Linked DNA regions of Arabidopsis thaliana. The protein of the gene in region 1 interacts with the protein of each later gene in a biochemical or structural test. Each region holds a gene or a part of one and is shown in the gene's direction. Other genes may lie near its edges.

Region 1 (4,569 bases):
AATCTGAAGAAATCTGTTTTTTTTTTTTTTTTTTTTTTTTTTAAAGATTGTGATCAAATTTTGATATTATCTTATACAAATATTAATGTCATTTTTAAGAGTAAAATTAGGAGGTGGACCCCAAAATCATCATCTTGTTAACAGATTTAGAATTTTGAAAAATTAAAATCGTAACAATTAAAAACTATAATGTGTTAAAACAATTAAAATCCTCTCCTAAGATAACACGCCACCATCTATTCGTTTTAATAAAACCGTTATCACGATCTTCATCTCTTTTTGCAAAGCTTCTTCATGATCATAATTTGAGTTTTTCAAAATTAAAATGGATCCTCTAAGCTTTTATTTATTTATTTAATTTATATAGTTAGATCCAAAGCTAAACAAAGGTAAAAAAAAAAAAAGGAATAAGATTCTTACAATTTAGAAAAACTATAAACATTGTGAGGTAAAAACTCAACTAATTAATGTATGTCTAACTATCAAATATAACAAACTAAACATTTTGCTATAAAAACTCAACCAGTCAGTTTAAAACACTCATAAACATAAAATTGCTATATAGAGAAATGACTCTTGTGTCAAAATTAAATTACTATCCAAATTTTCCTTATTGATTTCAAAAATTCAAAATTTGTAATTTTGTTTCATGTATTTTCTTTTTTGAATTTTTATTTAAAATATTTTAGTGGATTTATCATAAGGAGTTTCGAAGTTAACATTAGTGATATGAAAATATATAAAGAGAAAAATCAAACAGAAACAAAAGTTTAAGAGATCGGATGAAACTAAATTGGTCGAAATGAATAGATATTTAATCAATAACAAAAGGAAATAGCTATTGAAAATTGTGAAAACAAATGACAGAAAAATGGTTTTGAGAAATATGTCAACAAAAAAAAAGAGTTGGAATTAAGCATCAAACTACTTCTATAAAATTTTAATAGAGATATTCTTCACTAATTACTCCAACAACCTTTAATTTTTATAACAAATTGCAGTTTTTAAAAAATCATAAGTAAATGAATGAACGATGAAGTATCACATTTATGTTAATTTCAGTTCGAATTATGAATAAAAAACCAAAATACTTGTTAAGAAAAAAAAACCAGTTTGTTTTTGTTCTTAACAAAAAAAAGGAAATTGGGGATCTTTTTGTGCGTGACCATAAGTATTTTTACTTTACAAAATTTGCATGCATAAATTTTAGTATTAAAATAATATATTTACTTTATAAAAACTCATATGATATTGGCTCTAAAAAAAATAACAAGACTAAATTAAAAGTGAAGTTAACCATGATAACTGTAAGAAACATTGTTAGGATTAAAATCTTATAAGGTAATATCATACTTTAATTTATGAAAAAAAGAAAGTCTTAGAGAGCCTTACTTATTAATTTTTTAAATAAAATTCTCTTGAACAATATCTTCCTTTTCAAATATTAATGTAAAACTTTTTTTTTTTTTAATACCAATATTAATGTAAAACTTATGTAAACCAAAACCTTCTACATCGTCGTTAGCAACCGGTTTAACAATTTTTATGAGTTGCTTTCTTTTTTTAATTATCACTTTAGGTGACTCTCCTTTTCAGTTGCTTTTAAACCTTGTACTGTTCTCCCACTTCTCCTTGCTTATATATTGATCAAAAGCTCTTGAAATGTAGGAAAAATACGGTTCATATAAAACTTCCTTAATCAATCTTAGAAGAAAAATCGGAAAACTTTTTTGATCAGAAGTTTCGTTCGATATATGTCTTGAGCTCTAGGGTATAGTTTCAAAGATTCTAACATGAGATATGGTCGAAGTCAAAGTCAAAAGACCTTGGGACTCAACACGTCAAATCACGAAGCTTATAATAGTATGTCCGATCAAGAAAAGATACAATGCTCGATCAATTGATTTTAATATTTTATATTGTAAAAAATTATATAAAAAAAACACATTCCTCTCCATAAAAATTTTGTAGTAGATTAACCATTATCAAAAATAATAGTAGCATAATTAAAAAGCTTAAATATTTCCCCAACATCAAGAAAACCAAGGTTGCTAATATATTTTTTTTGTCAGAATTTTTAAAAAAATAGTGGTTCATGTCAATGTCATTTGCTATCCACTTTTCTACTAAAACCAAAACTTGGATACAAAAAATTAGATGGAAAAAGGAAGGAAAAAACAAAAAGCACACGAGCCAGAAAAAGTCACACGTGTGAAAGTGAAACATAATGAACGCAGTACAAAACACAACTACCACTAGTTTCGGTTTGGTCAAGACTGTAAATACTCAAACAAACTCCGAACCAGTAGTAGTAGTTCTGGTCACAGCTCTTTGTTTCCACTCTCTCTCTCTCTACCTCTCACATCGTTCTACTTCTAGGGTTTGGCTAATTTAGATTCAACATCTCCTTTAAAATTCTCTGTTCTTTTGTATTCCTAATCTTTAACAATTTAAGAAGAAATGGATTCGAATTCATGGATCAATTGTCCCCCTGTGTTTTCATCATCGCCTTCTTCACGCCGTTACCAATCTCGATCAGGTTTGTTTAAAAAAATGCTTGAGGTAGATTGATTATGTAAAGTTTCATCCTTTGTTCTGAATTGATGGTGATTAACACTTTTTGACGCAGATTTGTATTTGGGAGATGTTGAAGGAGAAGACGATTTGAAAGCTGAGTTTATGTGTCCTTTTTGTGCAGATGAGTTTGATATTGTTGGTCTTTGTTGTCATATTGATGTGAATCATCCTGTTGAAGCTAAGAATGGGGTAATGTTCATTGAGTTTTTTTTATTTCAAGAGTTTCATGATGATTCTTAGGTTTTATATTTAGGTTTAAATTTCCAAATCTCTAAGCTTTCCTGAAATAGAAAAAGTTGCTTTTCAGTTTTAACCCATTGTTTAGCTTAATCAAGTGAGCATTGTAATTACCATTTGTAGAAGATTATATAATCAGTAATTTAGGGTCTCTTATGTGTCATCTTTGATATGAGAACAGAGTGCTTAAATGATCATCCGCATTTTACATTTACATGTTATTCTTAGATTGATTATGTTTATACTTAGGTTTGATTTCCAAATCGTGAAACTTGCTTGTAATGGAAAAGGTTGCTTTTTTACGCAGTGTTTAGCTTAGTCAAGTGAGCATTGTAATCTCGCAGTGCTTCTGGATTAGAAAGTTATTTAGGTTCTCTTATGTGCTATCTTTGATGTGAGAACAGTATGTTTTTGCTTTGTTACTAGGTTTGTCCTGTCTGCACAAAGAAGGTGGGATTGGACATTGTTGGCCATATAACAACGCAACACGGGAACGTATTTAAGATATCCTTTTGAAACTTTGATATTCTCTTTTAACGGTTTTAGTAGAGTTTGAAGAGTCATTTTGTGTATTCCTTGACGTGAGAGATTTTACGTGCAGCGAAGAAGAAGGTTGCGTAAAGGTGGATATAGCTCTACCTATCTTACTCTTAAAAAAGAGCTTCGAGAAGCTAACTTACAGTCTCTTGGAGGGTCTTCCACTTTCATTCCCTCTTCCAATATAGATTCTGATCCTCTACTCTCATCCTTTATGTTTAAACCCCCTTCGGCTATACCTATCACTGAAGGAGACTCGGTAGCACAAGTCTCACCTAAGGACACCTCTAAAAGGTATAATTCCATACTGTATTCTCAAAAAAATGTGTCGCTTCCGTTTGTTTTCTCACAGTGCCTGTTTTTATCATTCCTTTACAGCAAAATACAACAAGAATCATTCTCAAACGAAGATCAAGAGAAGGCAAAGAAGAGCAAGTTTGTGCGGGGCTTGCTTTGGTCAACCATGCTTGAAGACAAGTTCTAATTTATCTAGATATCTTATATTGTAATCAATGTATCAAGAAATCATACATTAGTCTCAATGTATGTAGCAGAGGCTTGTAGCAAGCATAATGGCATGCTGAGTATGTTGTAATCGGATGTTCGTGGGGTATCTTTTATGTGCATAATCAGAAGATATATAAGTACTATTTCACTCTACTCAGGACTCGTAAAATTAGCCAACGCTTAAAACTTTTCAGTATAAAACTTATAAGCCAACCCTGTGTTTCATCAGTTCAGCAATCAAATTGTATCACAAAAAGTGTTGCATCTCAACATTACAAAAACACTCCTCGCAAATTTCACTATATGGGCTCCTCAAATCCTTATTCAGGGAAAATCAAAAGACTAAGTTTCAGAAGAAGAAAGAGGAAGATTAGGCTACAATTCACAAAGCATCTTCTGGAAACGAAACAGCAGAGACTCTTAAATCGCCTGAAAAACACGCAAGAGTCTAACCACTATTTGGTGGTTCTTCAGTGTAAGAGAGACTTTATATGTGAAGTAAGAGCAGCAGATAATGGGTCTTTTGATCAGACCAGAGCCAAATCCATGGTCAAGAATGTATCTTTCATTTTCACCTCATTTGTGGACTGTTAGAGGTGAAGAATCTGTAGTCTGGATGATCAACTTGCAGACGCTTGAGCCATTTATCTGCAGCTTGTAGCAAAGAAGTCATCTTTTGGGACTCTTGAATTCTATTTTGGTTCCACACAG
Region 2 (4,986 bases), 5.6 Mb from region 1:
TTCGAGAACTGCAACACGAAAGTAACAGACCAAATAAAACATGTCTTGAGTTTAGTTCTTGCAATTCTAACAAGGAAAAGAAGAAGAAGACGAAAGGAAAAACCTTTTGTTTTTGTGGCGGACTCAGCTGGTGTGATTTCCGCATTGGAAGCGACAGGAGTTTTTGTTGGCACATCCGGAAGATCCAGCTTCTCAGATTCTTCAGACTCCTTTGTAGGCACTTCAGGCATCTCATCAACAATAAGCTTTAAGCAAAACACACATCAACATTAGTCTCTTTATCTAGTAAAGATAATAATACACAAATTTATTTTGTAAACCCATACCTGACTTTCTAGGTTGTCAAATTCTGCTAATATATCTTCCTCATCCTCTGCTGATAGTTTCTCTCCCAATATAGCGTTCAGCTCCTGACATTCGGAAATGTAAATAGAGTCATCAAACACAAAAGCTCGACAAAAAAGATTATAGAGGTTTTCACACTAGACGAGCTCAGAACAAACTGTGCCACACAAAGCAGTGATCAAATAAGAAGATATTTACATTCTGACAAAGCGGATAACGTAATAATGAATCATAAACAAATGATACGAAACCCGAAAGTATTTTGACTCACATCTTGATAAGCTTTAGCATCAGCAGTATCATCCATTAGTTTTTGAACATCATCAAGGTCCAATTCGCTTTGAATGGCCTTAATAGCACTATTACCCTGCTTTAAGCTCTCAAACACTGCCTTTTGTTTGCTCGTAAGTTCAATATCTGTTAACTGCGAGTTCACATGAAAGTTTGAGAAAGCCATAATTATGCATCAAAAGAGACGATGCCGGATACAAAACATACACACAAGGAGAAGGATTTACTTGTTGTTCAACATTGATGACCCATTGATCCACTTGCTTCAATAACTCTTCTTGAGTTCGTTTCTTCCTCAATGCTAACAAAGCTCTGTCCTTTCGCTTTTCACGGATTAAGTCTCTTGCAGCTTGCTTTTCCGCTTCAATTACTTTCTCAAGCTAAATTAGCAAAAAAAATGAGAAGATCGGTTAACAAAGAGATGAGCCAAAGAACTCAAAAGCTTGAGTCTTTCTTTTCCATCACACTACTAACAATCATAAGACACATATTGTGAAACGAATCAAATCCAATCTCCAATTAGGATTTTGGATGAATCAAAACTATATGATCTGGGTTCCAAAAGAAATTGTAACAAAAGAAAATTAAGATATAAGAAGAGAGAATAAAAAACCTTCTGCTGATATTGACCAAGCTTGCGTCTTTGGGTTTTGAGAGAGAGAATCGCTCGATCAACCTCCGTGATCTGTGGTTTCTTCACGAACAAATTCCCCATCTTTTCTTCACTTATCGAAACCAACGATTCGGAAAATCAAACGAGCAGAAGAAAATTTAGCAAGATTTGATCTTTTGACGAAATTGATTATTAGTCTCTAGATTTCCCAAAAATGTCGCCAATTTCAAACCAAAGTCCAATTTTTGTGTTTCTTCTCTCTTTCTGCTTTTCAGTACAAATATCTCAAAATAGAGGAAAAGCATGAACCGGACCGAAAAAATGTAAAAATCGATATCGAACCGATTTTAGTCGGTTTGATTTCATCCACACTGAAAAATAAAAAAATCGAAACCAAACAAAAATTCCTTGGATAGTACCGTAAACAAAATCAAGCTGAAATCGATAAGTAACCGAATAGACCAATGTATAATTCGGTCTCCCAATTTTGTTCAAGTTTATATCAAAACCAGAACAAACCGGTTGGCCACCTTTAACAAAATCTCGAACTCGCGTTTTCGATAGCGCGTGATTGCAAAACGCTATTGCAGCGTCACGACAAAAAAGGTTTGTTCGTTTATTAAACCGGCCGGTTTGGAATCATGAATTTGATTTGAATCCTTTTAGCTGGTTAACCGACGTCGTTTGAGTAAATGGATCCAAAGCCAGACAGATCCTAAATCTCGTCGACGACGGTGTCGGGACTGAAAGCAGAGAGAAAGCAAAGTAAGCTAGCTTAGCTAGGTCCAAGATCCAAGCTTTGGAATTTTGTAAATTGTCTCCACTCTTAGCCGGTGAGTCTCACTCTGTTCCGAATTATTCTTTGTGATATGGATTTCGATTTCCCATGATTCGATTTTGTACTTTTTGCTCTTCTCTTGAGTTTAAAGATGTACGAATGAATATATACAGATTCGATTTTATGTTCTGGTGGCTTTGATCGCTGAAATTTGAAAACTTTGTCTATGTTTCGATTGCTTGATACTCTTGTTTCACATGTTCATACTCTGGAATTGATTATAGATTAGTGTTTTTACAGTTTTAATGGAAACTGTTCCACCATCTCCCATTACATGGCCAGATGGGGGAGCTCTCACTAACGACTGGGTACATGGGCTTATGTCGTGTTTCGAATGGTCTTCATGGAATCTACCTCCTTCCCAGTTACCTTCACTATTGCCTGTCAACGTCTTTGATTCCCTCGTCCTCACCGCTCATAAAATCCTCCACAAAGAACGTAACTGCGTTCATATCGATGATCTTGACTCTGTATCCAACGTTGTTGTGGTTGGTGACATTCATGGTCAGCTTCATGACCTTCTTTTCCTATTGAAAGATACTGGCTTTCCTTGTCAAAACCGGTGTTATGTTTTCAACGGAGACTATGTGGATCGCGGTGCTTGGGGACTTGAAACCTTCCTTGTTCTCTTGTCCTGGAAGGTAAACTCTTTACTAAGCTGTTTTACTATTGGCTCAAGTCTTAGTATTCTTAAAGCACATATCTTTTTGGTTGTTTAGGTTTTGATGCCGGACAGAGTCTACCTACTCCGTGGTAATCATGAGTCAAAGTATTGTACATCTATGTATGGTTTCGAGAAGGAAGTGCTTACAAAATACGGAGACAAGGGAAAACATGTGTACCGGAAATGTTTGGGTTGCTTTGAAGGTCTTCCTTTGGCTTCCATAATTTCTGGACGTGTTTATACAGCACATGGAGGGCTTTTCCGCAGCCCAGTCTTGCCTAAGCGAACAACAAGGGGGAAAAAGAACCGTCGGGTAGTTCTTCTGGAACCTGAGCCGAGCTCAATGAAACTCGGTACCTTAGATGAGTTGATGCAAGCTCGAAGATCAGTTCTTGATCCTCCTTGGGAAGGTTCAAACTTGATACCAGGAGACGTTTTATGGTCTGATCCTTCAATGACTCCGGGCCTTTCACCAAATGAACAGAGAGGCATTGGTCTTCTTTGGGGTCCCGATTGTACAGAGGATTTTTTGAAGAAATATGAACTGAAGGTGACACCAAAGTAGATATTGATGCTTGTTTGCTTCCCAAATACTGATATGGATGATTGGATCAAATGTTTTACACTTATTGGTGCAGTTGATCATCAGATCACATGAAGGTCCAGATGCTAGAGAGAAGAGAACTGGTCTTGGTGGAATGGACAATGGATATACAATAGACCACAATGTCGAATCCGGAAAGCTTATCACTATTTTCAGTGCACCTGACTATCCGCAATTCCAAGTATGTATTTTTACGCCTTTGGTATTTGCATTTTCTAAAGATATGCGTTAACAATCATTTTTGTGTGTGGTGTAGGCAACAGAAGAGAGGTACAAAAACAAAGGAGCATATATTATTTTGCAGGCGCCTGATTTCTCGGATCCTCAATTTCATAGTTTCGAAGCTGTTAAACCGCGACCAAAGGTAACTAACTTACGATGCTGATAATGAACCAACGAGTTGTTTTACTTCTTTGATACACATACATAGCGACATCGGTTTTTAAATGTGCAGGCGCATCCATATTATGACTTTGAAAATGTCATTGATTCTGATGATGAGATGGATAAGTCAGCAATGGACACCAATAACGAACAACCAAATAGCTGACCGAAGCTGAAAAGGAGTATCTTGAATTGATGTTTTTTACAGTTGTTGTGATTGCTCATTATTTGCAAACATAAAATGGAATCAAATGTAAAGAAAAGAGATGAAGAAAATCATTTGTAGAATTCACATTTAAGTTATGTATGGAAGATGAAGAAATAAGAACCATCTTAAATCTCATGTAGTTCTTAGTTTCTTGGTTCCTACACGTCTTATTTAAACCTAAATCTTGTAAGATTTTGCTCTGTTTTGTCAGGTTAGCCTAAATCTTGAGAGGTCAAACTTGCAGTAACTTTCATTGTATAGAATTGCTTTTAACTGAATGATAAATCGAGTAGTAGATTAGTCCAATGGAAGTTTGTGGATCAAGTTATGTGTCTGTCGGCATTATAGTTTTCCTTTGAAATATTGACACATTACTAGAATCTTATCCAACAAAAAATTGTGTGGTTATGAAAATCCTAAGTAACGAGACAGCTTATTAAATGCCGAATTTGGTAGCAATTTGTTCAGATGAATGTATGTCTTCTTGTAAAAGACAGTATGAAGTGGAGGTTGATGCTAACTATCTTATGGTTCCTTATTGCACTTTGAAGCATTTATTGCAATTGTTTTCGGTTTTTTCTCTTGAGTGGGCTAAACTAATAATGGTCTGTTCTTTCTCTAAAGAGAGAAGAATTCGACAGGAGCGTGAAGCATCTTCATTCGCAAATATAACACATTAAAGCTACCTCTAGCATCATCTGTGTGATTCTCTCCAAGGTCATTCGTTGTCTGTCACGGGGCATCTCAAGTAATAAAGCTTAAAGTTAACTGTCTTTTCAGCCAAATAGTTTCATCATCTAAATATTCACATGATCTTCCATATTTCATCACCGATTATGGTTACAACATTTTTGCAAACCCTAAAATTTGTGTTATCGCCAAACTTGACCCTTATACCGGAACCCATGTGGGTGGGTGTTGATTTTTACTGTTTTGTAATTTGTTCATCGACAATCATTGACATGTACTCACCGCAATGTTTTTTCTTTCCTAGTTTCATGTGCATATATGTCTCTAAACAGTAATTGTTTAGCACTTC

What was found.
Region 2: the proteins of HRB1 (region 1) and PP7 form a complex in vitro, tested with the Arabidopsis thaliana proteins (one study listed by BioGRID).

Annotation. Positions count from the first base shown.
Region 1 is NC_003076.8:19,958,314-19,962,882, reverse strand, and holds HRB1 (Drought-responsive family protein), read left to right. Parts: upstream 1-2,201; 5' UTR 2,202-2,460; coding exon 2,461-2,539; intron 2,540-2,629; coding exon 2,630-2,766; intron 2,767-3,240; coding exon 3,241-3,318; intron 3,319-3,409; coding exon 3,410-3,645; intron 3,646-3,729; coding exon 3,730-3,835; 3' UTR 3,836-4,011; downstream 4,012-4,569. Other genes in the region: AT5G49220 (hypothetical protein (DUF789)), read right to left, coding at 4,430-4,569. UniProt on the Arabidopsis thaliana protein: Involved in both red and blue light signaling.
Region 2 is NC_003076.8:25,560,255-25,565,240, reverse strand, and holds PP7 (serine/threonine phosphatase 7), read left to right. Parts: upstream 1-1,924; 5' UTR 1,925-2,082; intron 2,083-2,316; exon of another isoform or gene 2,317-2,327; 5' UTR 2,328-2,332; coding exon 2,333-2,728; intron 2,729-2,806; coding exon 2,807-3,301; coding exon of another isoform or gene 3,302-3,316; exon of another isoform or gene 3,317-3,389; coding exon 3,390-3,536; intron 3,537-3,611; coding exon 3,612-3,719; intron 3,720-3,809; coding exon 3,810-3,905; 3' UTR 3,906-4,171; downstream 4,172-4,986. Other genes in the region: VPS20.1 (SNF7 family protein), read right to left, coding at 1-8, 104-245, 327-482, 617-769, 864-1,016, 1,250-1,351. UniProt on the Arabidopsis thaliana protein: Phosphatase active on para-nitrophenylphosphate (pNPP) and on various phosphoproteins such as myelin basic protein.